Linked DNA regions of Notamacropus eugenii. The protein of the gene in region 1 purifies or fractionates together with the protein of each later gene. This does not show direct contact. Links are inferred from orthologs where the notes say so. Each region holds a gene or a part of one and is shown in the gene's direction. Other genes may lie near its edges.

Evidence for each region.
Region 2: the proteins of BTRC (region 1) and IKBKB purify together in Homo sapiens (affinity purification with western blotting; 3 studies listed by BioGRID). This does not show direct contact. The link is inferred for Notamacropus eugenii from reciprocal best matches to the Homo sapiens genes BTRC and IKBKB.
Region 3: the proteins of BTRC (region 1) and TRIB2 purify together in Homo sapiens (affinity purification with western blotting; 3 studies listed by BioGRID and IntAct, with this or other methods). This does not show direct contact. The link is inferred for Notamacropus eugenii from reciprocal best matches to the Homo sapiens genes BTRC and TRIB2.
Region 4: the proteins of BTRC (region 1) and ARIH1 purify together in Homo sapiens (affinity purification with mass spectrometry; 3 studies listed by BioGRID and IntAct, counting the BioPlex papers as one, with this or other methods). This does not show direct contact. The link is inferred for Notamacropus eugenii from reciprocal best matches to the Homo sapiens genes BTRC and ARIH1.

The regions. Positions count from the first base shown.
Region 1 is NC_092872.1:179,423,873-179,430,721, forward strand, and holds the start of BTRC (F-box/WD repeat-containing protein 1A), read left to right. Parts: upstream 1-3,846; 5' UTR 3,847-5,254; coding exon 5,255-5,264; intron 5,265-6,849. UniProt on the Homo sapiens protein: Substrate recognition component of a SCF (SKP1-CUL1-F-box protein) E3 ubiquitin-protein ligase complex which mediates the ubiquitination and subsequent proteasomal degradation of target proteins. Recognizes and binds to phosphorylated target proteins.
Region 2 is NC_092872.1:618,298,701-618,306,370, reverse strand, and holds the start of IKBKB (inhibitor of nuclear factor kappa-B kinase subunit beta), read left to right. Parts: upstream 1-4,659; 5' UTR 4,660-4,854; intron 4,855-5,536; 5' UTR 5,537-5,549; coding exon 5,550-5,654; intron 5,655-7,670.
Region 3 is NC_092872.1:751,839,396-751,847,273, forward strand, and holds the start of TRIB2 (tribbles homolog 2), read left to right. Parts: upstream 1-4,867; 5' UTR 4,868-6,434; coding exon 6,435-6,704; intron 6,705-7,878.
Region 4 is NC_092872.1:244,700,877-244,708,604, reverse strand, and holds the start of ARIH1 (E3 ubiquitin-protein ligase ARIH1), read left to right. Parts: upstream 1-4,717; 5' UTR 4,718-4,768; coding exon 4,769-5,140; intron 5,141-7,728. UniProt on the Homo sapiens protein: E3 ubiquitin-protein ligase, which catalyzes ubiquitination of target proteins together with ubiquitin-conjugating enzyme E2 UBE2L3.

The DNA.
Region 1 (6,849 bases):
TGATCTACCCCTGCCCATCCTATAGGACTTTTGTCCCTGCCCTATGTTTGCCATGGCTGGGGTTGGGGATGGGGTGGAGGTGTGAGGACAGGCTCAGCTATACCCAACCTGCTACAATTTGACATCACAAAGATACCAGTGGAACTCAAGGGCTGTCTATCACTTATCCCCACTTATAATATAACTAACTCAGCTTTTCTTTGGTGACCCTTTACTTGTGGTATCTGGCAGCCATGTTTATCCCTCATATGCCTCTTCAGGTTATTTTCAGTTTCAGTTCTTTGGCAGAGTAATGTTCTATGGTTTTCAAACATACATCAGTACATACATCAGTTTAATATTGGTATTAAAAAGATGAACTTATGTTCCAGGGAGAAGTTGTAGGGCAGAACATAGACAAGGAACTAGAGAATAGACTTTGGTCTCTAAACGGGTAAATTTGATGCCTAAACGATACTCCCTCAGAGAAGTGCTTGATCACAAAGAGAGCAGCAAATGTGGGCAAGAATGGAGTGGCAAGAACTCAGGCTAAGGTCTCTGGAGAAAATGTCAAATACCTCAAAAGTATTATGTGCTGCTATCTACTTCTCTCACTTTTCACCCCCTTGGAGTTGGTATTTGCCCAATCATTCCATAAAAATTGCTTTCTCATATATTTTCCTTTGGATGCATAATCAGTTAAACCAATGATTTTTTCTGTGGATTTTCTGTTCTGCCCTGCCATATTTGACTTTATTGCAAGGCCAACATTTTGTCAGTTTCTTATTTGCTTATTATTCTGCCTGCTTGACTTAGCCTTATTCCACAAGTAAAGGGGATGTCTCATATCTCTCTCTATTCCAAGGCACACTGTTGTTTGGCACGTCCGCTGGAAGAAAGTACACTTTGGGGGCTGCTAAATAAGCAATCCCTTTTCCATCAGTCCTGCGTGGTACAAATAACTCATTGGTTTTACTCTCCAAGTAGAATGCTATTCAGGTAAGTGGGTAATACTCTTTTTTTCCCTCTAAGAGTACAGTTTTAGGAAATGCCCTAAGCACTGAGTCCTAAATTAAAATTTTGAGAACTCTTATTCTTTGGCTAGAAAGTTAGATTTTGAAATTACATAGTCAGTCTGGAGAATTCCTTCCTTTCTTCCACTTTCACCTGCCACACAGGGGCCTAGGGTTGATGAACATTGTCCATGAACTGCACTTTTGTTTTGAGTAAGCACACTAGTCTGCTTTTACCCTGTGCTTCTACAGAAAATCTATCAGTATGCTGATTGCTGTCACCTTGGGTTGAGAATCTTGCCTTTCAGGATCTCTTCTTTCCAGCTACCAGCAAGAATATACAACTTGTCTCTTTCCCAAGACAGTCATTTTTAGTTCCTGGATACATACAGAAAATAGTTTTCCTCCCCCTAGGACTATATCTGTACACTAACCTATTTCTAGATGGGAGAAAAAGAATGCCTGAAAGAGTGAGCTGTTGGGTCTGTCAGTTCTTTTTTTTTTTTTTAAATTATTATTGTTATTATTTGTCCGTAGATTCTGGAGGGGCCCAATGACATCACAGGGTGATGACCTGACTGGTACTTTAATTGGATTTAAGTGAGGCAGAACTGATAGAGGACAAAGACCAGAAGCTTCTTCTACAAAAATTAGTCTTTTTACATTCCAGATGGCCAATCATCTTGGCAGCAGCTTTAGGTACTGGGTCTAGTTCTGAGTCCCTTAAGTAAGGTACTAGTGGGTATGCCTACATTCTCCATGGAGAGGTTCTACTAAGAGTCCTCTAAAGGCTCATGCCTTGAAATTTTATCAAGTTGTTGAGTTGGGGAAACGTCCAGTGGATCAGTGACTATTAATCACCTCACCCCACATACTCATGCTTTAATTCACCTATTTTGTAAATTTATACATCAATATGCCTGTAAATATTAATCAATATCTATATGTCCTGTCAGTGTTAGGCCTGGGTTTGCTTCAGGTGGAATTATTTTGTTTTAGGGTAGAACCAAATTCCAAAATGAAGCTTTTCCAGAATTAAAAACCACATTCAACACTAGCTAGCCCCCCCAAAAAATTCCTGTAACTCTGACTTCCTGTAATTTACCTATTTCCACCACATAGATATTTCACAAGCTTGGCTTTGGGCCAGAACTGTAAGCTTTGAGAGGTCATGAGTCAGGTCTGGTCTCCCAGAACTAGAAGGCTAGTTCCCATGGCAAGATCTTGTCTAATTTCGGGAACAGAGGCCTGAATTTTGCAGGCAAGATGATGAGTTCTGGACAAGGAGTGGGAAAGGCCTTAGGCAGGTAGACCAAGGGATGTCAAAGCACTCAGCAGCCTGCTCACAAGCTGAGTTCCAGTGGATAGCAATCCTTTGGATACAGGACAGATCTATGAGGTTTGGGGAGTATCTAGCCCCCCTAAACCTCAGTTCGCAGGGTTCTGGTAAAACCTTTCTCTGTGTCTGTGATTAACCCCTTGCTGCTAGGTAAAAGTGACATGGTCGCCATCTTGTGAACAAATCCCAAGTCAGACTCCCTAAGCTTCTCACAGTAACCAAGGTGACAGTGCACTTCCGCTACCCAGAAACTGAAAAACTACATTTCCCATGAGTCCCTTTTCCAACTCCAGGTAGGTGGACTTCCTCGGACCAATTCTCGTAGGGAAATAGCAGAGCTGGCCTAGCGCAGGGATTGGCGGGTGTCTCAGTTCCCTTCGTTGCCCCGCCCTATACTGCTTTCAGGCCGAGAACTACATATCCCGTGAGCCCGCGGGCCCGCGCTTGCGCGCGGCTGAGCCGGTTCTCCCTTGCCCCCCTGCCGGCGCCGGGAGAGGTAGGGAGAGGGCGGGGGGAAGGAAGAGGAGGCGGGATCCGGGAGCTGCGCTGGCTGCGGCCTGGCACGAAGGGGGCGGCCCTGGCGGAGCAGTGAGACCCAGCGGCCCCCGGTGACTATGGACCCGGCCGAGGCGGTGCTGCAGGAGAAGGCGCTCAAGTTTATGGTGAGGAGAAGGCGCGGGCCGGGGAGCAGCGGCGTTGGCGGCGGCGGCGGGAGTAGCAGCCGCGTCGTTCTTGGCTGCGGCTTGGGCCTGGGCCGCTTGTCTGGAGAGGGGGACAGCGAGTTTGGGGTCCGGGGGCGGCGGCGGCCGCGGGGGCGGCGGAGGCCGGAAGGGTCCGGGCAGGCTGGGAGCTGGGGGCCTGGGCCCGGGGGGTCGGGAGTAGCAGCTCCGCCATCTTGTGGAGGAGAGTCCCAGTGACAGCGGGGTCCCGACGGAGGGGGGCTGCCCGTGGCGCGCGGGGCGACGGAGGGGAAGGACAGAGCGGGCCAGTTCCTGGGGAAATGGAAGGTTGCGGAGGCGAGGGCGGGCGGGGGCCGTTGTCTGTCCCGCCGCGCGGGCGGCTCTCGGCCGCTGCGGGGGCGGACAGGTATTTGGGGGCCGAGTGCGGGAAGGGCCGGACGCAGTGGGGCTGCGGGGAGGAAGCCGGGCTCCCGGGGCTGGGGCGAGAGGCCACTAGAGACGAGGGCACCGGGACTGGGGAGGCCTGAGCCAGCCTAAGAGGAGACGAGGGGACGAGCAAGATTCTCCTACTTTGGAACGGACGGGGGGTTAATATTGTAACAGAACAAGTTGATGGTCTCCAAGTATTGACCAGAACAAGGTCAGGGGCAGGGGAAGAGTTTAGAGGCCACTAAGGTTAGGGGCAAATGCCTACTCGTGGGAGGAAAGGCAAGGAAGGTTAAGGCAGTCTCGGAAAGGACTGGGTCGTGGAGAGTCTCCCTAAGTGTCGCCGAGTGAATTAGTGACATGGGAGTGCGGGAGTGGAGAGGGGTTGGGAGACACTGAAGAGAAAGCAGTGGGACGGTGGAATGGGAAAAGTGATGCTAGATCTCTGTACTCATTAGAGAGTGTGAGATATTGTTACATTTTTCTGTAACTTTGTATCATGCTATACTTGTGTTTTGCTAGTGTCTGGTCAGTTTTGAGTAAGTTTAGCATTTGAGGCTTTTAATCTGATTGCCCTTGGCTTTCCCACATACAAAACTTCAGTGATGTCATCAGACTCTGTAGTTACTGCTAGCGAGTGATAATGAAAAAGAATACACATAGACTTTATCTGAGTTTACCAGTTGGTCTTTAGGAAATCAATACTATTTGCATAAGTTTCCAATTTCTTCAGAGTTGAATTTGGAATAATGACAGCCCCTAACCCCATTCTTTGAATGAATGGTTGGTATTTCCAGTGTTGCCTGGAATACAGTAACAACTGCAAACTAAAATAGCTACTGAGTTAATATTAGGTCAAAACAATCTAGATGTTTTGTTTCCAAGAATGAATTCTAAGTGATTTGTATCATTTGGTGGAAGTTCATTTGATGGGAATTAATGTTTTTACGGACCAGAATTAAAAATTTATTAAGAATATAGAAATCAGTTGTTTGAAGTGTCTCTTTGAATTGCTACCCAAAGTTTGAATACTGTATCAGGTATAAAAATCTTTGATTTAGGAGGTAGCATAGGGTAGTGAAAAGAACATTGTATTTACAGTTAGAGGATGTGGAAGTCCTGGCTCTTCTAACTTACTACCTGTTTGACTTTGGGCAATCTTGACCTCAGTTTTCCCATCTGTTTACAGAGAAAGGGTTGGACTAGAATGAACTCCCAGCCCACTTTTGATTCTAAATCTATGAGCCTATGATGCTTTATTTTTATTTTACAAGGCAGGAATTATTCATATACACATATGGACAGCTTCTAGTCTTTAAAGATGGTAGTCACTTAGTTTCTATTTTCTCCTTAGAGGATAGAATTTTTCTATCAACTTAAGACATTTTTACCAGATTTATGGAATAATATAATTTACAGATCACAAACACATATTATGAGATCATCTACTTTAGGCAGCAGTGCAAGAACATTCTTTACTACTTGGTCTCAGTTCTATACCAAGGAGTTACTTATGTTTGAGTTGTGCCACCTGAGTTAAATTAAACTTATAAATCTGAACTAGATTGACCATATCTTACTTTATACCTGTCAGAGTACCTTATAATATTAAGATTGAGTCACTTCCTATAGGGATAATAAAGCTCTATAGACAAGGACTCAGCTTCTGATGCCTTTCTTTTGGCACTACCAGCCATAGCTTTTGTCTGAAAGGAAGCCCAAGTAGTCACCAAGAGAGAAAACAGAGACATATTTTAAATGCTAGAGCAGAGGACTGAGATCTAGATATTTAGTGTTCCAGTTGAACAGTCTTTTACATGAATTTGGGTAAGTCAACTCTTTGACCTCATTTCCCTATTTATGAGATCTTTGTTTACTTGTGTTAACTTTTGAGGTCTTTTAATGACTCTGTGTTTACAAAATCTTGAAGAATGTGAGTATACTAGATATGAACTTAATCACCAATGTTCTGCTTACTAGAATTAGAGGAATCATTCCATAGGAGAGTTATTAAAAGACCTTACTTTAAATTCTTGCTCTGTTATGTACTGTGGAATGGTGGGCTAGAGCTTTGAGCCTCACTGACTTTGTAAAATAGAGAACTAGACTAAATCTCTAAGGTGTCTTCCAGCTCAGAAATCCTATAGTTTCTGTGGTTTCACTTTAACTTTGAGTGATGTGCAGTGCTTGGCAAAAAGTAGGTGCTTAATAAATACTTGTTGGCTTGAGGGGAGGGCAATTTTAGCACAGATGAAAGACAATTTCACACTATGTTAGCTAAGAAATTTGTTACCCCAAAAGAACTCAAATACAAATAGATTCAAGAAATGTTTAGATAAATTTATGGGTGATCTATAACATTATTTAGAATGCATTAGTAAATGTTTGGAGGACACTTGTAACCTTGTGAAGTTAAGACCAAGAATGATAACCACTTTATTCCACAAAACATCTCTGATGGCCCCATCAGAATGTTGGTTTGGGTCTATTTGGGGCATTATTTGAATTCAGTCAGACTGTTCTTATTCTTCCTTGTTATCTCCTGCATGGTGCTTATTTACGTCGACCAACTCAGCTGACTGAAGGATGTTCATAGACATTGACAGGGATAGGGGCTAGCATTTACATAGTACTTTAAAACTTGCCGAGTGCTTTACAAACATCATCTGATCTAATTCTCGTTACAGTCCTGGGGGATGGTGTAGTGCTATTATTATTTCTGTTTTACAGGTGAAGAAACTGACCCAGACAAGTGTTAAGTGCCTTGTTTAGGATTACACAACTAGTAAGGATCTGAAGCTAGATTTGAATTTGGGTCTTCCTGACTCTAAGTCCAACACTCTATCCACAGAGCTGCCTAGTAGTCTCAAATACTCTTCCCTGGGTAATCAGTACGCAAAAAGAACCTCTTTTTAACTAAAATTTATTTACAATATCTAGGGTTATTCTCTCCTCCTTCATTCCTTTCCTCAAGTTATGAATTATTTCAGACCACTTTTGCACAGATTTTGTAGTTTGCGTATTTTAATAGTTAAATTTTTCCCCCCAAATAAAAATGAAATTGGTATTTTTGTACAAACTTTAAACTATGAACATAGTTTAGAGAAGATTAATTACAGTAAAACTTTATCTGTACTCCTGATTTTATATTGGTTGTGCTTTATCTGAGATCTAGGCTAAGGTTTAACTTTGCTCCCTTTATGTAAGAGGGTTTGCCAGAGATGAATAATGTAAAGTTAACCTACTTAAGGAAACATTATTTTAAAGCACGTTAGAAGTACTAGATTATACCAAACTAATAATGATTTTATTAGGAGTCATTATTTATTGATCACAGCAGATTCCCCAGGTACTTTTGCCCACAATTTGTTAGGGGGGAAAAAGATCCCTCACAGAAATATATAAGGAGGCT
Region 2 (7,670 bases), about 440 Mb from region 1:
ATCAGGGTCAGAATAGTGAAGTCGCTCAATTCTTCTCTCTCCTGCAGTCTCCATACCAAATGTGTCCTGGAGCTAGCTCTAACAGGCTCCAGAGAGAACTGACTGTTTAAATTTTCAGTGTGAACATTCGTTGTTATTGAGTCGTTTCAGTTCTGTCCCACTCTTTATGACCCCATTTGGGGTTTTCTTGGCAAAGATACAGGAGTGATTTGCCATTTCCTTCTCCAGCTCATTTTACAGATGAGGAAGCTAAAGCAGACAGGATTAAGTGACTTGCCCAGGATCGCACAACTAGTAAATGTCTGAACATTGACACATCAGAAATTGGCAAATATTACATATCTGAGCTAGTAAGCAACTGAGCATTTACTGGAAATCTGGTTTTGCTGATTGCCTAGATTTGAGAAAGTAAAGGAGAAAATGATTATAATGCAGATCAGCCTTAAAAGTGTGCGCCCCAGATTTAGAAAACTGTTAAAATCAGTTACCCAGCAAACCCCTGATCCATACTTTATCAGTTGTCAAATCTTGTGGACTCCACCTCCAAAACATCTCTCCAACCAGTCACTTTTCTCCACTCACATATACCACCTCTTGTACAGATCCTCATAATTCTTCTACTGAATTATCTCAATGGTTAATTCTTCTCCCTGACTTTCTCACCATATAATGCATTTTCCACAGAGTTGTCAAAATAACCATCCTAAAACACAGGTTGGAGCACATCACTTCCCTATTTAAGAAGGAATTGCTTTTCCAACAAAATACAAATTCCTTTGACGTTCATACATCCTGGTTTCAGTTTACTTTTCTAGGTTTATTACACATTACTTCCTCTCAAGTTCTCTTGGGTTTCAATCAAATCACCTGCTTCCCCAGCATAATATTCCATTTCCCATCTCTGTGATCTTTACGGGCCATCCCCCCATTGCCTGGAATTCGCTCTCTCCAAATCTCTAAAAAGTACAGGTACTTTTTAGACTCTCTAACTTCTGTGAACACCAACTCATGGGTCATTTCCTATCCCAGTTGATAGTGTTCTCTCCCGGTCCAAAATAGTTGGTATTTATTTATCTATGCCTTGCCTCTGACACATACTGCTGCAGAACTGTGAACAGATTGGTGCCCTACACATCTCTTTAAAACTGGAAAACGCAGAGAAGGGGCTAAACTTTATTGTAGAAGAAGTTTTCTTGTCCACCAGTTCTCTGTACCAATGAAATCACATATCTAGTCCCTTTCTTTGCATATCTGATTAAATATATCCCTCCCAACAGAGTGTGAGCTCTTTGAATGAGTGGGCGGGGGAGAGAGAAACATTTATTAATGATACCTGGTATCATTAATATTTATATAGCACCTAAGATTTGCAATTTCTTTACATATAAATTAGGCAGTCGGGTGGTACAACAGCTAATACTTGAGTTCAAATCTCACCTTAGACATTTACTAGCTGTGCAACCCAGATGTTTTGTGTTTCTCTAAATGTCCTTATCTCTAAAATGGGTATAAAAATAGCACTTACCTCCTAGAATTGTTGTGAGGATAAAATGGGATAATATTTGTAAGATGCTTTGTAAACAACAACCTTGTGAGGTGCGTGCTGTTATTATCCCCATTGAGGAAACTGAGTCTAAACAGTTAAGTGACCTGCGCAGAATTCATCAGTGTCTGAAGTTGGATTTAAAACTAAGATCTTCTAAACCCTAAACCCCAAGTCTTTGACTCTACCTACAAAACCTACCAGTTTAAGGAGGAGTGGGGAGGGGGAGGGGAAGGTGCTGGACAAACTCTGGGAGAGAGAAGTGGGACAAGTGTTCATCAAGCTCCCATTACTACTGTGCCAAACACTTTACAAATGTTAGCTCATTTGATCGTCACAATAATCCTCGGAGGTGATGGTATTATGACTCCCATTTTACAGCTGAGTAAATTGAGGTAGGCAGACCAGTGACTTGCCCAGGATCACACAGCTCCTAAGTTGTTTTTCAGTTGTGTCTGACTCTTTATGACTATTTGGGTTTTTCTTGGCAAAGATACTGGAGTGGTTTGCCATTTCCTTCTCCAGCTCATTTTACAGATGAAGAAACTGAGGTAAACAGGGTTACAGGATTTGCCCAGGGTCACATAGCTAGTAAGTGTCTGAGGCCAGATGTAACCCCAGGTCTTCATGACTTCAGGCCCAGAGCTCCATCTACGGATCCACTGTACCACTCAGGTGCATAGGGATAGAAAGACAAAAGTAGAGAGTCCCTGCCTTCAAGGAGGTCACACTCTAATTCAGACCAATAGGGAAAGACAACACACTGGGGGCAGTGTAGCCAGGAAGCGGCACTTTGATCAGTAAAGTTATAGAGATGGTGGGTAGGGACTCAGGGGACTAGAATACTGTACCCTTTGCAAGAAGAAGGCTAAGTTGACATGGTCATGCTTCTAGAACTGAAGAAGGGTAGAAGGGAGAGAGAAGGAAAATATAGTATACTCAAAGAAGAGAGGCTATTGGGTGAAAAGATGGTCAGGGAATAGGGAATGATGCTACAGGAGAAACATCTGTCTAAGTTCATGTGGTGGGTTAACTGCTGCCAAATATATATTTACCACAAAGCAGAAAATATAGAGCTAAAAACCTAGGTTTTCTGATGATGCTCAAGCCTAGATCAGGCCTCAGAGAAAACCTGAACAATCGTTAGGATTCTGACAAGGCTTCTTATAGGCAAAATTATGTCAGAGTGACTGAGGAATAATTCATTTTCAGATTGTAATAGTGTACATTACATTTAGGTCATAAAAGCTAAAGAGAAAATAGAGCCATGCTCCCTTCAATGTCATAAAAGTTCAACACACTTAGTTAAACATTTATAATTTCGTATATCCTCTAAGGGAACAAACCTCCTCAAACAAACTCTATAAGTAAACTAAGTCAGAATACAGATTAAACTACATTTAGAGGATTTACAAATAAACTGATTAAAGAGGAAGATTTACATGGCCAAGAACTCAGAGACAGTTGAGAATCTTTCTCTGGGTTCTTATTTAAGGAATGTTTAAGGATCTAAGGGCTAAGCAGCTAACTAGGCAGCTCAGTGGCTCCAGCACTTGATCTGGAGTCAAAAAACTGTGAGTTCAAATTTGGCCTCAGTTACTTATTAGCTGAGTGACCCTGGGCAAGTCACTAACCTCCTATTTGCCTCTGTTCCTCATCTATAAAATATGGACGCACTAGAGAAGGAAGTGGCAAACCACTCCAGTATCTTTGTCAAGAAAACCCAATTTACAAGTCAAATATGACTGAACAATAACAAGGTTCTAAGTAAATTTCCATATCCCATGGGACAGGTTTTGGTCACGAGAATTAATATAGACTTTCAGTTAACCAAAATTTGCTGGGGGCATGGTTCTCAGTCCCAAATAAATAGGAAATGAAAAATTCCCATGACAAATTGAAACTTGTCTAGAGTCTGCCTAAAACAATGTACCATTCACCAATGTGGATGTTGGGAAAACTGAGGGAAAGAACTGTTTCCCATTTTGTCTTTGTGTCTCTAGCACCTACCTAAGCACAATGCTTTGTACATTGGATGGATGGATGGATAGATGGATAGATGGATGAAATTATCTAGCTCAATGCTCTCATTGCATGAGTGAGGAAACTGAGGCTCAAGTAAGTTGTCCACAGTCATATTGGTAGTTCTAAATCCTGAGAAATTTTAGACAGAAGGTTTTTCCTCTATAGCAAGCTGCTTCTCCCTTTATCAAGGTTAAATTTCTTTTTGAATTTCCTCATACTCCTTGGGCTTCAAACACTGGCTTTTAATGCAACACTACCAGGTTTTTGTAAGAGCAAGAAGGAACTTACTTTAAACACCCCTTAGATCAACCCTGTCATTTTTTAAAAGAAGAAATAGATCACTGAACCTCAGAGAGGGGAACTGATTTGTTCAAGCCATCCAGCTATTGCAGAAGAGTAAAGGAACTGACTCAATCAGACCTATCTTCTCTGACTTTTCCTCCAGGACTCTTTTGAATTTATCTTTCTTTCTTAGTTTTGGCACGGTGGCAATTTCCTTTGGAATGGGGCTTAACTGTGACTGATCCTTCCAGATAAAAGGAAGAGAGCCTCAAGAAGGGAGGGATAACTGACTTCTAAGGGGGATGACACTGTGGTAATGGCAAATTCTTGTAAATCATCAGCCAATCCACCCTAAGCAGGGACCCAGAAAAAATTCCACCTCATGCAGTGTCAGAGGAAACAGAAAGAGCCCTCCCAGCTGTGGGAAGGCTGAGGAAATCCCCATCAGTGCCTCCATTCCCAGAACCTGCTGCTAGTCAGTTTCATTTGTCTAAGAAAGGGCCTGGGGCTTGTTGCATTCATTCCCTGCTTGGGGGTGCTGGGATTTGGTACCAGAGTATACTGAGAAAGGACCGTCCTTCCCCTTTGTCCCCCCAATATACACCCTCGGATTTTGGGTTTTTAGTTTTAATTTTTAGAACAATACACATCTTCCTGAGAAATCCTGGGAGCTGGGGTCCACTGTTGGAAGAGTCAGGTGGGTTGGAGGGATGCATAGGATGTCCAGTCTAGAACACTAGAAGCCCGGAGCTGAAGGCTTCCTCGGGTCCCTGTGGCCCCTTTAAGAGCCTGCCCGTCCCCCGCCATGTGGCCCGCTGACATCAGAGCAGGAAGTGTTTGAGGAAGTCTAGAGCTAGCAGGCAGGCTGTCTAATCCAGGTCCCTGAACCCTGATGTGGTCTGGGGGGGCACCCACCGACCTAAGTCCCTACAGGTGGTCTCCGCCTCCCTCCCTGTTCCCTGCCCTGGCAAGGGCCGCCTCCCCCTTCCCCAACCACCAGGCAGGTGAGTTCACCCCTTACTTCTCCCCACCCCCCAACCCCCGGGACCCTGAGCTGAGACAGGTGGCTTAAGGTGGGACCAGCTGTGACCTCTTTCTTGTCCCTCTCCTTGGTCACTACTCCTGACATCCAGGGAGATAATCAATCTTGTTTGTCCTTTCCTGGAGGTTTGGAAACAAATTTCTACTGAGTTCTGGAAGTTTGCTTTGCCCACCCACTCTGTTTTGTTCCTGGTTGGTGAGTGTTAAAATCCGGGAGATTGCTGTAAAGCCTAAAGAGAGAAAATACAGCTGGTGTAGGTTCCCCCACTGATCCATTTGAAGTGCGTGGTTTGGCATGGTGGGGAAGGAGGATTCATTCATAGGCTCTCCATACCATATAAAGGCGTATGTGATTTCCCAGGAAGTAAAAAATTGACTTTCAAATTTTTTATCCAGGGAAAGTAGAGGAAGGGAGTCTTAAATGGCACCTTAGGGGGATTCCTTTGGCAATCAAGGGATCTCTTTGAGTAACAGAGGTAGGAGAGGTGTTGAAGAACTTGTTAGAGAAGAGTTTCTTTTTTAAAAGAAAATAAAAACACACTTTTTCCTTCTCACTCACACCCAAAGGCAAGAATCCTCTGTCCCATTCCATCTCTCCAAGGGGTCTTGTTTTTCTTCCTCTGATCCTCCTCTGAATTCCCACAGCAGTAACTTCAGAATGAGCTGGCCACCTTCTCTTCAAATGCAGACTTGTGGGTCCTGGGAAATGAAAGAACGGCTTGGAACTGGGGGATTTGGAAATGTCATCCGGTGGCACAATGAGGTAGGTAGGACCTCTTTCTACCCTGGGAAAGAACAGTCATGAGGTGAGGGGGGTTAGTGCATTTCACACTTCACTTCCCAAGTGGCTCTAGTGAGATTCCTTCTGTTTGATCTAGGTGTGCCTATCCCACCATGTTCTGGGTTTTGATTTGGGTCTTGGTGGTAGGGTGGTCTCATTTGGAGAGAAGAGCCAAAGAGGCAGAAAGAACCTGGATCAGAGTAGGTTCCTCAGATTTGCTAATCTTCTCTAGCCTGCCTGTTGGAGAAACCTTGGACATGTTACCTGCCTAGTCAATCAACTGTCATTTATCAAATAAACCTGACTATGTGCAAGGGAAACAAGGAAAAAGTGAAAATCCCTGACCTCAAGGAGCTTATCCAGCACCTGGATTTCATTATAAACAACAAACTAATGTCCTGACAAAATCCTACCAAAAACCCCAATTTCCCTAAGGTTATTCCACACCAGAAAGTTCCGCAAGTTCTTCACCATAATCAGGAATCTGGCTGAAATGATGGGTCACATCACTGTTGGTTTGTTTGCCTCTGAGGCTCTTGACTGGACAGTCATGACCCATGATTATGCAACTCTAAATGTTAAAGTACACCAGGCCTTCTCAATTCCAAGTGGACAGGACTCTTCCTGGGTATTTGGAGGTTAAATACAAACAGCTTTGGAGTCGGTTGCTTAGGAGAGAAGCTCTCATTCCTGGTGGAGAGTCAGGAGTACTAGCCAGTCCTATACCTGAAAGGACCTGCTGGAAAAAAAGACTACCTCAAACTCACTCAAATCGCTCCACCCACCCTATGGTCTAGCATTAAGTACAATGCCCCCTCTTAGGGTCACCAAATTATTCCTACTTTAGAACATTAAATTCAATAAATATTTATTAAGTACCTACTATAGGAAAGGCACTGTACTGCAGGCTGTGGATAAAAAAACTAAACAGTCTCTGCTTTGAAGGAGTTCACATTCTATTTTAGAGATATGATGGGGACAAGGATAAGTCAATACAAAATATTTAACCCGAGATGTTGATAAAGGGTGATATTCTTATAAAGAGAGTGAATAAATAAAACGTACAGAATCTAGACTCCTTGACTGTCACAGGGACCTATCACTTCCATTTCTGTAGTGCCTTGTAGCATACAAAGTCTTTTCCTCACCACAACCCTATGAAGTCGAAATTACAAGCATTTTTTTTACCAAAGCTTTGATTTTATTGGTTTATGATAATATCAATAAGGAAACATCCTATACCTATATAGATGTGCACATTAGAGAATTGCCTGGGACAGGGATGAAATGACTTGCCCAGGATCTCATGACCCATTTGTGTAAAAGATGGGACTTGAACCTCGATCTTTGGACTTAGAGGCCTTCTCTCTATCCACTGTGCCGTGCTAACTCTCAGGTTTTGTGAGTGTTATGATGCTCATTTTACAGGTTTAAATTTTTTGCCTAAGATCAAATGACTAGAGGGGTTTTATACGGTAGTATTCTTATTGTTGAATCATGCCTGACTCTTCATGATCCTGTGGACCATCTCATCGCTAGCCAGAGCTGGCCATGGGGTTTTCTTGGCAAAGATACTGGAGCAGTTTGCCATTTCCTTCTTCAGTGGATTAAGGCAAACAGAGGTTAAATGACTTGACTAAGGTCACACAACTAGTAAGTGTCTAAGGCCAGATTTGATTTCAGATCATCTTGACTCCAGGCCCAGTGCTTTATCCACTGATCCATCAGTTGCCTCTTTATATGGTAGCACCAGGACCCAAAATTTGTTATCCAGAGTTCAGGGATCCTTGTCTTGCACCATCCTCCATAACAGATCCCTTCTCAGCTTAGTCAAAGGCAGTTACTTTTGCTTTAAAAAAAAAAGGAAAGAAGGTAGTCAAGGGAAGGAAAAGGAGAAGAGGGAGAGTAGAAAGGAGAAAGGAAGAAGGAAGGACAGAAAGAGAAAGAGAATAGGAGAAGAGAGGAGATAATTTCCATGCAAGTGTTCCAGCATTCTAT
Region 3 (7,878 bases), about 570 Mb from region 1:
GAGGCAATTAGAGATGTCCTGTGAAATTCCATAAAATCCTAAAAGCTGGAAGATACTTTGGTAGTCATCTGGTCCAATCTGCTAGATGGTGCAGTGGATAGAGTACAGGCTTGGAATCATGAAGAAGAATTCAAATCTGTCTGGAAACACTTATCAGCCATGTCTTACTAGCTGTGTGACTTAGAGGCAGGAAGGGGATAGGCAATGGAGAAAATGGGCATGAGAACTCATAGAAAAGTATTTCCACTTACATTTTATACTTTCCATGTGCCTGACTCTATTTGACTCCTCCCAAACCAAGGTTATGTGGAGGAATTTTGTAGGCCCTGAGCCCCTGACATAATCACAGGACACAGAAATATAACAGTGTCTGGTGGTCTTCAGTGCCAAAAGGAAGTAGAGAGACATGATGAGTGGGAGCAAGCTGCTCCACATTGCCAGTCCAGTGGGAGAAGTGGCCTGACATGGTGTGAAGGACAAAGGGTCATCAGAGTTCAAAAGATTCATGACTTTAGGGAAGAGTGAGGGGGTCCTCTCTAAAGAGGAAAGGATAATGGGCAGCCCCCTCATGCTCTATGGAGATGCACCCAGAATTCTTAGGGAGGAGCCACAGTAGAATATGAAGAAGAGTCACCAGGATGACCTGGCATGGGGGAGTGAAGTTGGTGTTGGTGGGAGTATCTGTGTGAATGAGATCACAGATGATACTGAGTGCTGAAACACGTCTGGGAGCTGGCATGGGAGGACTTTGGATGTACAGCAGGGGTCTGGCTGACACCTCTGCACTACCAGTTTGGGCATGAGTATGATGACAGCCCAGTTAGATAAATAGCAAATGCCCTTATTTCTGTTTTACAAATGAGGAAACAGGACCAAAAAGGGAAGGTTCCTTACTCAAGGTCCGTGGTAGGTCACAGGTTAGTAAAGACAAGAACACCGGTGTCCTGCTTTCAGACCAAGTTGTAGGCTCTTCTTCCAGTTGTCTTCTGGTCATTGTCTGAGTCACATTTGTTTGTTCTTTAAATACAACAATATTTTAAAACTGTGAAGGACTTCAGAACTCCTAGCCAAGCAATTTTTCATAATTGCTAAGGATCTCCTAAGAGAGAGGTGATCGGCTCCAGATGCAAATTGAAATGTATATATTTGGACATGGTCAGTGAAGAGAGATGTTCTGCCTGACTATGCCTGCTTCTTATGAGGGTTTGTTTTTTCTTTTTTCTTTTTAAATATAAGGGGGGGGGGGTGGGCACAGGGGGAAAAAATTTTAAATTTACATGAAATTTGAAAAATATTTTATCCATGTTTTGTTTCACACAACTGACATTTTCCAATTACCCCAATACCTCTTAGTAGCCTTCTGAATTAAAAAGAGAAACATCCAAGAAGAATAAAGCTCCGCATCAGCTTTGGCAGTATATGCAGCATTCCACACCTGGAAGCCACCACCACAGACAGAACTGAGTTTCATTACCAGTCTTGTGGATCAAGACTTGTCATTGCATTCATCTGAATTCGACTCCCTCTTAGGGATGTTTTGCTTGCATTGTGGTCACTGGGTAAATGGTTCTCATTGCATTAGGTCCTATAGGCTTTCCCAAGTTAATACTGATTCTTTGGGTTTCTTGTTCTCCATTACACAGCACCTCTCCCTAACATTCACATACCACTGGACATTTGGATCCTGCAGAAGAGAAGACTGGCCAGAGAGGGGGAGGAGGAGACTAGCTGTGCTGAAGTTCTCGGACTGTCACATGGGGCAGGGCTCAGCCTTGGCCCCAGGGGGCAGAGACAGGAGAAAAGGGGGGAAGGCTTGAAGAGCCCAGTTAGGTTTGATATGAGGAAAAACCTCCTAATGAGAGCTGCCCAGAGTGGAAGGAGCTAGGTTCACCCTTTTAACATCTTTAACCTTCAAAGCCTCCTCCCCATGATAGCCCCTTGGGGTTGGTCATACCGATATTATTTGCCCTAGTCTGCATAAGATCCCAGAAGTAAGGTGACTTCTGTGGTGTGTCAGTCACTCAACAAATGTTTGTGGAGAGCCCCCTGTGTTCTAGGCTCTGTGCTGACTGCTGGGGATAATCATAAAAAGGCAAAAAAAAGGTCCCTTCCCTCAAGGAGCTCACTTGAATGGGTCATCTGGTTAGGAATTGTCTGTCTGTCCTAAGCCCGATCCCTACAAATCTCCCGGACCCGTGGCAGTGTGTGACAGCCTCTTAGGGGAGCATACATCACTGTGGGCTGCAGGGGTCCTAGCACTTTTCAGGGAATGTTGGGCTTTGGATCCCACTTTGCAGTCACCTCTGGCCATAAAAGGGGTTCCTTCATCTTTTCAGATAAGACAGAGCCATCTGCCATCTGCCTCGGGGGAAGAGGGAGCCAGTGTGAGCAGAGAAAGCTTACCAGCCTCAAATCCTTTTACTTCTCTGATTCTGAAAGGGCCTTAAGGAAGAGAGAAAAAAGGGAGAGAGGGAGGAAGGGAAGGGAGAAAGAGACGAAGAAAGAAAAAGAGGAAAGAAAGGAAGGAAAAAAGGAAGAAAGGGAGGAAGAAAAGAAGGAAAGAGGAAGAAAAAAGGAAGGAAAGGAAGAAAAAAGGAAGAGAGGAAGGAAGGAAAGAGGAAGGACGGAAAGAAAGAGAAAGGAAGGAAGAAGGAAGGGGAAGGGAAGAAAGGGAGGGAGAGAGGGAGGAAGGAAAATCTAGGGACTCTTGATTTATTCCTGTCAGGTCCCAGTTTAGACACTTACCTAGGGAGGAGCCATCATCTGGCATGATGCATAAGAGCTTTAGGGTCCGATGAGCTGGGTTTGAATTTTGATTCTGTGCCTAAAATAGTGCTCTTAGGCAAGTCACATTCCCTTGGTGGGTGGGGCCAAAAGGGTCACAGGAGATGAACTCCAAGGCTCCTCCAGCCCCAGATCTGTGATTCTATGAACTGTTCAGCCTTTTGAGAAAGGTACTTGGACAGGCTCATTGAGTCTCTGTTTCACCATCTCTAAGGTGGGGATGGAGTACGTTGTGAAAAATACAAGGTCAAAAGAATGTAAGTAATATAGTCCAGACTATGTCTCTTGGTGGGAAAACGCCTGGGAGGAATCGAAGATGTTTGTGAATCCCAGTAGGAATGCTTTTCCTTGTGTGACCTTGGTTAAATGATTCTGGCCACAACGCAGAGTAGGTAGTGAAATGAAACCAGTGCTGGAGTTGGTGTTCAAATGTAGCCTCAGGAGCTTACTAGATATGACTCTGGGAAAGACAATCAATCTGCCAGCCTTGGTTTCCCCATCGTAAAAAGAGAACGCTAATAGCATCCACCTCCTAAGCTTGTTTTGAGGATCTAATTTGTAAAGCACTCTTTGCAATATTCCAGTCTTTCTGACTGCCCACTCTTTCAGGCTGCAGTTAGCATACCTAGTGGCCACTTAATATAGCCCGGATGCATGAGTGGCTGGGTTTCCCTTGCCTAACATCTGGCTGGAGCTGAGCAGAATCAGAATACCACCTGCCTATTAATGACTCTAATTCTGCAGCAGCCACAGTGTTCGCTGCACGCAGTCGAAGCCTGTGGGTAAGAGGCAGGGGCTGCATCCACTGCAAAGCTTCTGTGGGTAATGCAAACGTTCTGCTTCCGTTTTTTCTCCTCCAAGGTTTTTAAAGGCGCTTCTTTAAATGAGCTCCGGGGCAGAACTTCCTACGTTATGCAGAGAAAGCCTGGGCTGGAAGTTTTCTCGATCCAGGCTGCCTAGAAAATCTGATTTCTTCTTTGAAGGGGAAGAAAATGACAAAGAAATGACAAAGGAGAAGGGCCCAGGTCTTTGCAACCACGCAGCGCGGGGGGGGGGGGGGGGGGGGGGCGTGCCAATACGCAATGAGCTAGATCACAGTCCTTGACTCTCTCCTCCCTCCTTCCTCAAGAACAAATACAGCCAGTCCCCACCCCCACCCCCCACGGGGCTGGTCACTGCCACATCTGGGCAGATGAGAGGGTGGGGAGAGAGACCCAAGTGTGCCGAGAATGCACGTCTGCTGTGGGGGGGTGCAGGGCAGGTGGGAAGACCCCGAAAGGGTGATCAAGGGGAGTAAAGGAAAGGCGGGAAGGAAAGAAAGCGGTGGAGAGAAAGGGGGTCAGCAGGCTGCTGCTGGCCAGGCCCCGTGGCCAGCCTGGGCTGCAGTGGCAGCAGTATGGGGAGCGCCCGCTAGACAGCGGGGGTGGGCACGTGTGCCTCGCTGCATCCCCAGCTGCCCCTTCTCTGCCCCGCACAAAGCCGCCCGCGGAAGGATACCTCCATGGGCTGACCCTACGTCGCTGGTCCAGGGCCCCCAGCCGGAGCCCGAGCAGGCGGCGGCGACCCGAGTGCTCAGTGACATACCCCCTCCCCCCCGCATTGGAACTGATTGACGGGCGGGCGGCTCAATGAACGGCGAGCGGCTGGGGGGCGGGGCGGGGCCGAGGCCAGCCCCCTTATGCCTGGGAAGCCCCGCGGAGCGGCTGGGGCGGGCAGTGCTGGTGACATTGACTGGGGAGCCCCCGGGGGGAGGCTGAGCCAGACTGCTGGGTGCGCGCGTCCAGGGGGGCTCACACCGGAGCGCGCACAGCCTCCCTCACAGTCTCAGTCTCAGTCTCTCTCTCAGTCTGTCTCTCTCTCTCTCTGTCTCTGTCTCTGTCTCTCCTGTCTCTCTGTCTCTCGCACACACACGCGCGCGCGCGGGCTCTCTCTCTCTCTCTCTCTCTCTCTCTCTCTCTCTCTCTCTCTCTCTCTCCCCCTCCTTCTCTCTCTCTCTCTCTCTCCCTCCCTTTCTCTCTCACTCTGACACAGTCAGACAAGAGATTCCCGGCCACGTAAGTAGCTATTAATACGGCCCGTGGCGGCGATGCAGGCGTCTTGAGCTAGGGCTCAGCCCCGGGCACTGTGGGTGCCCCTTCGCTTCCCTCTGCACCCAGCAGCCTCACACCCGCCCCCCAGCAGAGTCCCAGCCGAGCGTCTCGCCTGCTTCTTTTCAAACTGTCAAGACCCCTTCCTACCATTGCCCTCCCCCCGAGAATTTCCGCCTTGGGCTCCGGAGACCGTGAACAACAGCCCCGGCCCCGCATCGCGGAGACTGGCAAAGCAACCCGTGCTTGTGTCCGGGCGGAGAAGAGGCTGAGAGAGCTAGAGATCCAGAGCGGGGCGAAACCTGCTCCGGAGGACGAGCCTTCTGTCCCGTCTCTTCCACCCCACGCTGGGGGGTGTGCGGGCACCGGGCTGAGAGCCCCGGCGCGGCCCCGGAGGACGCCGACAGCCCCCGCCTCTTTCAGACTCGCTCCAGGGAGTGGAGGACAACCGGAGAGGCGGCAGCGGCAGGGGCCAGAGCTGGAGCGGCATGAGCCGCCTCTGACCCCGAGCTCTCCTTCTCCAGCCCAGGACGCCCCGGGCTGCGCGCCCCACGAGTGGGCTGGGCAGCCAGGCTCGCCTCCAGGCGCCGCTTCGGAAGCTGCTTTTGTTGGCCGTGCCGTGCGCCCGCCCGCCAGTCTGTCCTTCTGTCCACACGCCCGCAGGTCTGCCTGTCCGTCTGCCCGACCGCCCCAAGTTCAATGCTCCCTCGCTAGTTACTGGAGCGTTTGAGGGGAGCCTTCTCTCGCTGGGAAAAGGTGAAGACGCCATCTACAGTCAAAACGTAGACAACTTCTCTCCTCGCCTCCCCACGCCCCCCACCAAAAAAAAAAAAAAAAAAAGGAGGAGGGGGCCCCACGAGTCCTGTATGCCTTGCTTGGAGTTGCGGAGCCCCGCAGGCTGCAGCTTTCTTTTTTCTTTCCACGCTCTTTGGGCTTTGACTTTTCTTCCTTCCTTCCTTCCTTTCAATACGGTTCTCGGGCAGCCTGCACCCTGGGCCCGCTGACCGCACGGCTTCGGACCCTGCCGCCCCGGTGCGATCCCGCCCTCGGGCCACTGCTGCAGCTCGGGCTTTCTGGGCTCGCCTGGCTCGGAAGCCTCCCCGGGTCCCCCGAGGCAGTGGAACGTTGCAGCTCGCTGCGTTCTGAAGCCGGCTACCTTGTTTCCCTCGCCGCGCACGTTCGGAAGCATTAAAAAAAAATCAGCGATCGAACGGCGGTTTCAGTCTATCGCCCGCAGCGGCGGCGGCGGCGGCGGCGGCGTTGTTCCGTGCCGGGAACAAAAGGGGCCGCTCGCCGACCCGCCCGCCTGCGGAGAAAGTGCCCCCGGGACCCGCTTTTCCAGCGGCGGAGGTGCCCAAGCTAGCCGCCTCTTTCTTTGCCCCTCGGATTCCTAACTCTTCCTGCACGCAGCCCCCTCCCCTTCCCTCTCTTCTTCTCTCCTCTCCCCTCACTCCCCCCCCACCCCTTTTTAATCTCTAACACAAAGGCGCCTGCAGCCGGACTCGCCAGCGAGTGTAACCCGTCCCCACCGGGTTTTGTTGTTTGCGTGTGATCGCCACCCTCATGAACATACAAAGATCTACCCCGATCACAATCTCACGCTATGGGAGACCGCGGACCAAAACCCAGGATTTTGAAGAGCTGTCGTCCCTGAGGTCCACCGAGCCCAGCCAGAGCTTCAGCCCCAACCTCGGCTCCCCGAGCCCGCCGGAGGCTCCCAACTTGTCGCATTGCGTTTCTTGCATCGGGAAATATTTATTGCTGGAACCTCTGGAGGGAGACCACGTTTTTCGGGCTGTGCATCTGCACAGTGGGGAAGAGCTCGTGTGCAAGGTAAAACTCACCCCTTGCCCCCCCCCCCCCCTCCCCAAGCACCCTCTTCCCCCAGTGCCAATTCCACGCTTTTAAGGGAAGGAGACCCGTACCGCACTCTCTCAGCCAAACTCTTGAGCTGGGAGCAAATCCCCTGGTGCCTATTCTAATTTTATTATTGTTATTATTATTTTAACGTAGGACTAGCTCAGAACTTTGCTGGCCACTTCAGACAATAGGGGCAGGCTCTCTACCGGGGGCGTTCCAGGCAGAGTCGCTTTGAGAAGGAGCCCTGGGTAGGGAAGAGAGGCCAGAGGGACCATATGTCCAGACTCAGGCAGGTTTTTATTGAAAAAGTACGAGAGGTCGTCTGCTGCCGGACAGATCCTGGAAGACAACCTTCCACCCCCTCTCCAGCCTCTCTAACCCCCGTATCCCTTCCCCCAGCCCCATTAGAGGAGGGAATCCCCTACTCATTTTAAGACAATGCCTTTAGAATCACACAATGTCAGAGCTGGAAAGGTCCTTAGATAACTCTCTGGGCTAATACCTCTCATATTACAGATGAGGAAACTGCGGCACCGAGATGGAGAAGGGTTTTGCCCAAGGGTCTGGCTTGGCGCTTTCCTCCCAGTCTCCTGCAGCAGTACGGGTGGGAGAGCTTTGTTTGGAAGTAGGCTTTGCAAAGGAACCTAGAGGTCTGGCTGTTGGGTTGTCCGGGGTCCTCCCTCCTTCCCTCCCCGGCCCCTTTGCACAATGGGAAGGGATAAAAGCCCCAGGCACACCTCCTTTTAGGAAGAGACTGAGGCCGCTGCCGCCACCTGCACACAGCCTCCCGCCCTCCCTTTCTTTCCCATCTCAGCCCCCCTCCTCCTGTTCCCTCCCCTGCTTTTACCAGTTGTGCCAATTCGACCAGGCTCCCTTTAAGGTTTAAAGGGAAGTTAGTGGAAAGCCACGGCATGGGCACAGCTGGTGAAAGAATGAACAGCTCTGGCTTTGAGCTTGGTGGAGGGGGAGGAGGAAGGCATCCCTGCTTTGAGGGTTTGACCCTGAGTGAGGACTGGGGGTGTGTGTGTGTGTGTGTGTGTGTGTGTGTGTGTGTGTGTGTGTGTGTGTGTGTGTGTGTGTGTGTGTGTGTGTGTGTGTGTGTGTGAGAGAGAGAGAGAGAGAGAGAGAGAGAGAGAGAGAGAGAGAG
Region 4 (7,728 bases), about 65 Mb from region 1:
CATAGTAAATGTTTAATAAATATTGGTTGAGTAAAAAGAGGCAGGAATTTAACAGACTGAATGTTCCAGATAAGTAAGCTACAGCAGCCCAAAAAGCTAATGTGATCTTGGACAGTATAAGATGATGCATGGCATACAAAAGGGGGGGGGGGGGGCAGGGAAGGAGTGATATTCATTGTACTCTGCCCACCCCCTACCCCCGTTAGACCACACTGGAATACTGTGTTCATTCAGGGTGTCCCCCCCACCCCCGTTAGACCACACTGGAATACTGTGTTCATTCAGGGTGTCATGTTTTAGAAAGGTAATGATAAAAGCACCCATAGTTGGGTGATCAGGATTGTGAAGAGTTTCCAAGATCATCACATTTAAGGACAGACTAGAGAAGACAAGACTTAAGAGGGTAGGTAACAGCTGTCCTCAAGTATGTGAAAAGCTGCTATGCAAAAAAGGGATTCAATTTTTCTGCTTGACCCCAAAGTTCAGAACTAGGACCAATGAAAGGAAATTGAAGAAGCTGATCTTTAGCTGTAAGGAAAAACTGAACAATTAAGATTACCCAAAAGTAGATCTTCAAGCAAAGACTGGATGACCACTTGACCATTATATTACAAACAGAAGTGAGAAGAAAGTGAGGTTGGTGACCTTGTACAGCCTCACTCAAATCAAAGTCAACTGCAAGTCATGTCATCATCTTGACGTCATGGTCCTCTTCGAGAATGAAGGACAAACACAACAATAAACAAAAGTGCTGAACTAGACAGTTTCTGAGGTCCTTTATAACTATGAAGTTCTACAATTCTGGCTGCTCCTCAATATAACAATGAGAAATAGCATTTATGAATTCTATAGCCAAGCTTTAGGCTATTAAACTTAAATTACTTTTTTCACAGTCTGAAAACTATGTAATTTTTAAAACTGGTAACAGAGTTTCCATCTCCCAACAAGAACATTAACCCTTCCCAACTGGATTCTAGAATGTCTTATAAGGCAAGACAAGGGTATTTGGTTAACACTGAACTGGGAGAAAGTCACAGGGGGCAAAATGAAAAGCACCAGCATATGAGCAGATATACAGGTTATCCTAATCATACCAAGTGAGCATTTTATGATTGACCCAAATAATAAAGGTTCCTGGCTCTGGCTAGCTTTAGATTCAGCAACATTTACAAAAAAGTTTTGATACCTTATGGCAGAGCCAGGTAATAATGTATTCATTATATCATTACAAAACATTAGTTGAAATAATCTTGGCATGTTATGCCTCTAAAACTGCATTAAGCCCAACTTATATTTAAATAAAATTGTACTCATCTATTTCTTTCAAATTTGTTGGGGAGACTGGAGTTTTATTGCAGTGCTCTGGATTTGCTGGAGGTTATTATTTCTATTATCTGCTTTTAGAAGAATTTTTATGGCATTTTGTTTTCTATTTATCTGAGAAGTACTTCTCATTAGCACTTGTGTAGTAAGCTCTAGGCAGGTAAAGGCTGTTTATATTTGTGGCCTTGGAAAAACCAGAAATCCTTGGGTGTTGTCTTTTCTATTTTTAACTGGAATTGTGATTTCATTGGCATAGCAATATCTTTTGGTAAGGACACTCCCTCTCCTAAACCAGATGTGCATTTGCTCTATAGCTTAAGAGTCTCAGAATTGTCCAAAGCCACACAGCAACCAAACATGTCCAAAGTAGGACTTGAACCCATGTTTTCCTTACTCAAGAAGCTTGGTTGTCTCTCCACTATGCCAAGTTTGTCTCTCTAGAGTTCTTACTTTGCAAAATATCAGATTAAATCTTTTAAAAAGCCTGGTCAGTTTTAAATCATGATTTAAGATGGAAGATGAGAAATTCTTGTGAAGGAATCATAGAAGGTGTATTGAGACAAAAGTCTTTCCCAAGACTGCAGAGCTCAGGGTGCACCATCAGTGTGCTGCCTTACTCATCTCTCAGATGACACTGATGCTTTAGACAAGGAAGCATCAGTTGTTTGTTGTCTATGGCATGGGTCCCTCATCCTGTTGTTTATGCATCATGATTGATATATTCAACAATTACCACAGCTTAGAAATAATAGGCACCACCTTGATATATCACCTGATATATCAGTCACTTTAAAAAAACAATAACATATGTGGGTCATCTGTTTGTGGTCAGAGTAGTTGTTAAACTGGTTTACCTGGAATAGCAAAAACTCAACCTGAATCCAGACCAGAGTTAAAAAACAGGGCCCAGAGGTTTATCTTTGAATATGAGGCCCAAAGCCACAGTTCATAATTATATACGATATGGAATACTGGGGAAAACATATTATTCTGGTAAAACACTGGAAGATCGAATAATTTCCTACCCTAGAAAACAGAGGATAGTTCAGTGATTTGGGGTAAATCTATAAGAATGAAGTCAAAGTGGCCAAACCTTCAAATTTAGTGAGTCTGATAGTCGTTTTGGTTATTATGTCAGCTACATGGTGCTAGGCTCACTTGTTGCACAGTATTAAGCCAACAACTGTCAAATTCGACTTGCCAGATTTTTTTCAGTCTGGCATCAGACTGTAATGTTAGTAATAACACACACAATTAGTTCATCTCTGAGGCTCTACTTCAGACTGGCCTGGAGGCAAGGAAATGGTCACATGACCCCAGGTCAACACTAGGATGAAGTGAATTGCTTAACCCATTATGGAAGTAACTTTTTAAAAAAAGTATTTCCTCTTACTTCAAGCTTCTTATACCAAGGATGTATAACAGTAAACAACGATATCAAAACCAGCTGAGCTTCTACCAAAGACGATCAATTTTACAGTGGAGTTTAAAAAGGAAGATAATTCAGGACTGATGCAATCTGATGAATCCTTCGCTGATCTCAGCAATACCAATATCCAGGAATAAGTAAAGCTGAAGTCCTGACAGCTTTCACACTTCTAAGCTGGCACAATTTTATTCCTTTTTCTCTCCTGGGGTGTCCAAGATGTAAAAATAATTAGGCAAACACTGGAGAGAAAAAAGTGAGAACCAACCCAGTGCTGCTATGAAAATGGGTCCCGTAGTTGCGCCCCAGAATCACATTAATGTAGAACTCGAATGCGGACTACTAAATCAACGGGGCTCCTTCATTTAATAGTTGAGAGAACTAAAATCCAGAGAAGGGCAAGGATGACTCGCTTGGGTAACAAAAAATCACAACTCCAACACAAGTCTTCTGATTCCAGGATGGAGCTCTACTTAACATACAGCATGCCTCAAGTTTTAGGCACGTAAAACTTCTGGGATGTTCTCTATTATGCTACCCACACCCCCACTTTGAATGTTTACTATGCATACAAATTAGGGGATCCTGGATTTAGAACTCTAAAGGATCTCACAAACCCCCAATTTTTAACCCCTCATGAAATTAAGACCATGTGAATGCCGTAGCAGCTGTGCCCGATCCTGGCATAAACTTATATGCCCAGACAGAATCGCTACCCTCTTCAGAGGTCAGCTGAGTCGTCCCACCCCACAGGAGGGTCATCCTCCTGACCCCTTCTCCCCTCCCAGAATTTCCACTGTATACAGTAGACTCTTTCTATTAGGGTCCACATCCTGATCCAAAGGCAGAATGGGAGTTCCCCCAACACGGGGCAGTTTTCCGTCGTCTCGGCATCGCAAAGGCGCCGATCAATGCTCGAACGCGGAATCCAACTTGTCGCACGAGGTCCTAGGCGGTGATGACGGGCAGGGCCCGGCTCCAGGCCAGGCCGATCCAAAGCTGCCTTCCTAAGTCTCTTCCCGGTCTGAGGCTTCTTTCCTACGAGGTGATGCCGCCCTCGGTCGGAGGACGGGAGGAAGGTGGGGGGCGCAGGCTAGGCCCAATTCCGGCCCGCGGGTCTCGACCGCCCCGCTAATTCATCCACCCATCTGCCCCGGGGAGTAGAGGGCCCCGGGAAGCCGGGCCGGCGGCCTTGGGATTGCGTGGGCGGCGCAGGTCGGTCAGGCCGCGGGCGCTGGTCACTCCCTCCACTCGTAGGAGCCGAGGAGAGAGGAACGGGCGTGAACCGACGCACATGACAACGGTTCTCGCCCGGCCGCCCGCCCCTCATTACTCCACCAGGGCTGTGGCACCGCCCGCCGCGCCAACATGGCGGCGCCTCGGAGACGCTTCCCGCGCGCGCGCGCGCGTGCGCTCTCCACAGTCTGGGCGCGGAGAAATTAAACCGGAAGGAAGGTAAAGGGCCGCGGGGGCGTCGGGGTTTCCCCGGGAGCCGCGCAGGGGCCACGGAGAAGGCGGCGAGCCGTCGCAGCACGTCTCCGGCCCGGGGAAGAAGGCGGGGCCGTGATCGACGGGAAGAGGCGGGGCGCGCCTCCTGGGCGGGGCGAGGCGAGGCGGCGTGACGGGACGCGGTGACGTAGAGCGGCGCGGTGACGCACGCCCCTTTGTTGGCTCAGTAGCGGTAGCAGCGGCCGTGGTGGTGGCGCTGGGGGTTGTTTTCTCTCGGAGGCCGGAGCGGAGCCGTGTCTGACCGAGGCGAGCGGGGCCCCCCTCCCTCCCCTCCCCCTCTCCTCCCCGCCGCCGCTGCCGCCGCCGCCGCCACCACCAGCCCCGCCGCCGCCACCCACCCCCGGCCACCACCTCCCGCCGCTGCCGATCGGGCCCCCAGCGTCCGGCCGGGGAGGAGCCGCCGCCCGCGCCCGCCGGGGCCGGAGCCGGGGCCGGAGCCGGCCAGGCCCGGGCTCTTCCCCCCACTCCCCGCCCCGCCGCCGCCGCCCGCCCGCCCGCCCCCCTCGCGCCATGGACTCGGACGAGGGCTACAACTACGAGTTCGACGAGGACGAGGAGTGCAGCGAGGAGGACAGCGGCGCCGAGGAGGAGGAGGACGACGACGACGAGGAGCCCGACGACGATAACCTGGACCTGGGCGAGGTGGAGCTGGTGGAGCCCGGGCTGGGCGTCGGGGGCGAGCGGGACGGGCTGCTGTGCGGGGAGACGGGCGGCGGGGGCGGCGGCAGCGCCCTGGGGCCCGGCGGGGGCGGCGGCGGGGGCGGCGGCGGGGGCGGCCCCGGGCACGAGCAGGAGGAGGACTACCGCTACGAGGTGCTCACGGCCGAGCAGATCCTGCAGCACATGGTGGAATGTATCCGGGAGGTCAACGAGGTCATCCAGGTGAGGCGGGCGGCGGCGGGGGCCGAGCGGGGCTAGGCCCGGCGGGGCGGGGCGGCGCGGCCAGGCCAGGCCAGGCCCCGGCCACTTGTTGATCGGCGCAGGCCCCGCAGTTCTGGGGGGCCCGGGAGGAGAGGGCGGAGGCCTCGGGCCGAGCGGCGAGAGGGAAGAGGTGGCCGGAGGGAGCCGAAGGAAGGCAACTACTTGGGAGAGCCGGGAGCCAACTTGGAGGTGGGGGCGGGGGCGCCGGGGCTGACCGGGCGGCGCGGCGTGGCGTGGCGTGGCGTGGCCGGGCCTCCCCGCGGGGAGCGGGCCGGGGCCGCGGCAGGAAGGCATCTGTTTACATCCTCGCAGGCCCGGCGTGGGGGAGGGGGCGCCCGGCCTGCCTCTGCCTCTGCCCTCGACCCGAACCTCTTTCCGTGCCCTGGGTAGGGGGGGCACGATTTCATCCCGCACTCTGCACTCTCGCTTGTTAAAATGGGAGAGAAATCGTGCGTTATTGTTTAGATTGAGACAATGCTCCGATTGTGAGCTGGAAAACCGAGGCCGGCGCTCTGCCTCCGGACTGCTTTCCCCGCTAACTTCTTTCTCGGGCGGGGAGCTTTGTCCAGGCCGGTGACTACCTCCCTTTGAATTCTCCTTTCCTGTGGCTCAGATTGTATTTTGAGCTTCAGGAAACGATGGGAAGTTTCCATTTGCTTGGAAACATTCTTTACAGTGGATAAGAGGTTGAGGAAGAGGAGTATAACTGCAGCCTTGATTTAAATGAGAGTTTCGTGGGTTTTTTTCATTGCTTAGTGTATAGAAACTAAAGGATATTTCTGAGCATCACCAAACTGCCTGCTCTGCCAAGTTGCTTGGTCATTTTTTTTCTTTGCTGAATGTGCAGTGGTGGAAAACCCAGTAAGATCTTAATGATTTTTTTTTCTGTTTTGCATTAAATTGAAACATAATAATCATTGAAAACTTTGAAAATAGATTAAAACATTCAGTGACCACTTGTTAATGGTGTCCCTAAAATCATGAAAAACAGTGAACACAGGTTTAACTGGTAGCACATTTTTAAGCCTTGTTTTCATAGACACACAATATATAACCTATATTTGGAAAGGATGAGACCATACTTTTAATTAAAGTACCAGAAACCTCAAACTTTCTGGAGGCAGCTAACTACAGTGGAAGCAGCATTGAATTTGGAGTCAGAACCTTGGGTTTCTGAGCTTGAGTTCTCCTCTACTTTACTGCTTGTGTGACCCTCAAGTCACTTAATCTTACTGTGTCTCAGTTGTTGCATATCTAAGATGAGGGAGGTTGAGCTAGGTAACCTTTTAGCTTTAAATTCTATGATTTATAACTCACTTCTTAAAAGGAAACTAATACAGAAGTGATTTTCTGAACCATAACGCTGTAAGTAGCTTTTCTGAATTTGAAAAATACAACTTATAGGTCTCTGTGAGTTGAACAGATTCTAGAAGTGTTCGTTTTTGGTTTTTTATAACTTAGTTCTAGTTCATTTGTGTGGGTCTCAGAGCCTTTGGGGAAACATTTCATTCAGCAGGATTCTGTGTTGCTGAAGATGCAGTTGCATCTATGTGAAAATGATAATCGTTTCTGCCCTCAAGAAACTTGTAAGTCAGGCAAATTTGATAATCAGGTTTACAGAGTTAAAAATTTTCAACTGGTTTCTTTTGTTTAACCCTGCTTTGATCTTTAAAAGTGACTTTTTTCATAGAGCTGAAATCCCTGCTACATTTCTGATAGATTTGAATTACTTTGGCGTTTCATTAGGACCATACTGTCAGAGCTAAAAGAACAACTTAGCATATGCTCCAACACCAAGTGTAGAGTGAGTACCTGTTGTGGATCTTACTGTAAGAGGCCACAGGAGAAGATGCAAATAAAGTGTGACTAGGCCTTTGCTTTCAAGGAACTTGGATTCTCAGTTTGCTGGGTAGCTGACAGTACAAAAATCTGGCTATTGCCTTTTTAATCTTCTTTTAGAGTTTGGAGAGATAAATTTAATTCTGATCCTCAGGATTAGCAGGACCCACTTAAATAGTAGTTGTTGATCAACCATTGAATGGCATGAAAATTTTCATGTCCACGCTACTATATTGGTTCAAATTTGAGTAGCCCCCCGAAAAATGAAATACTTATGAATAAAATGTTAAAGTAATAATAGTCAACATTTACTTGGTGAAAATACAGGATGCTTTGAGGTTTTTATACAAACCAGATTAAGGAGTGTCACATAAAAATACAACCTGTGTTTTTACAAAAATGATAAAGTAAGTTTAGGGGCAGCGGATAGAACAGCAGTGCAGGAGTCAGGAGGACCCGAGTTCAAATCTCACCTCAGACACTTGACACTCACTAGCTGTGTGACCTTGGGCAAATCACTTGACCCCAATTGCTTCATCCTGGGTCATCTCCAGTCATCCTAATAAATATCTGGTCACTGGATTCAGATGGCTCTGAAGGAGAAGTGAGGCTGGTGATCTGCACAGCCCTCCCTCACTCAAAACGAAGTCAAGTGCAAGTCATGTCCTCATTTCTCTGATGGCATGGTCTTCTTTGGCAACGAAGGACGA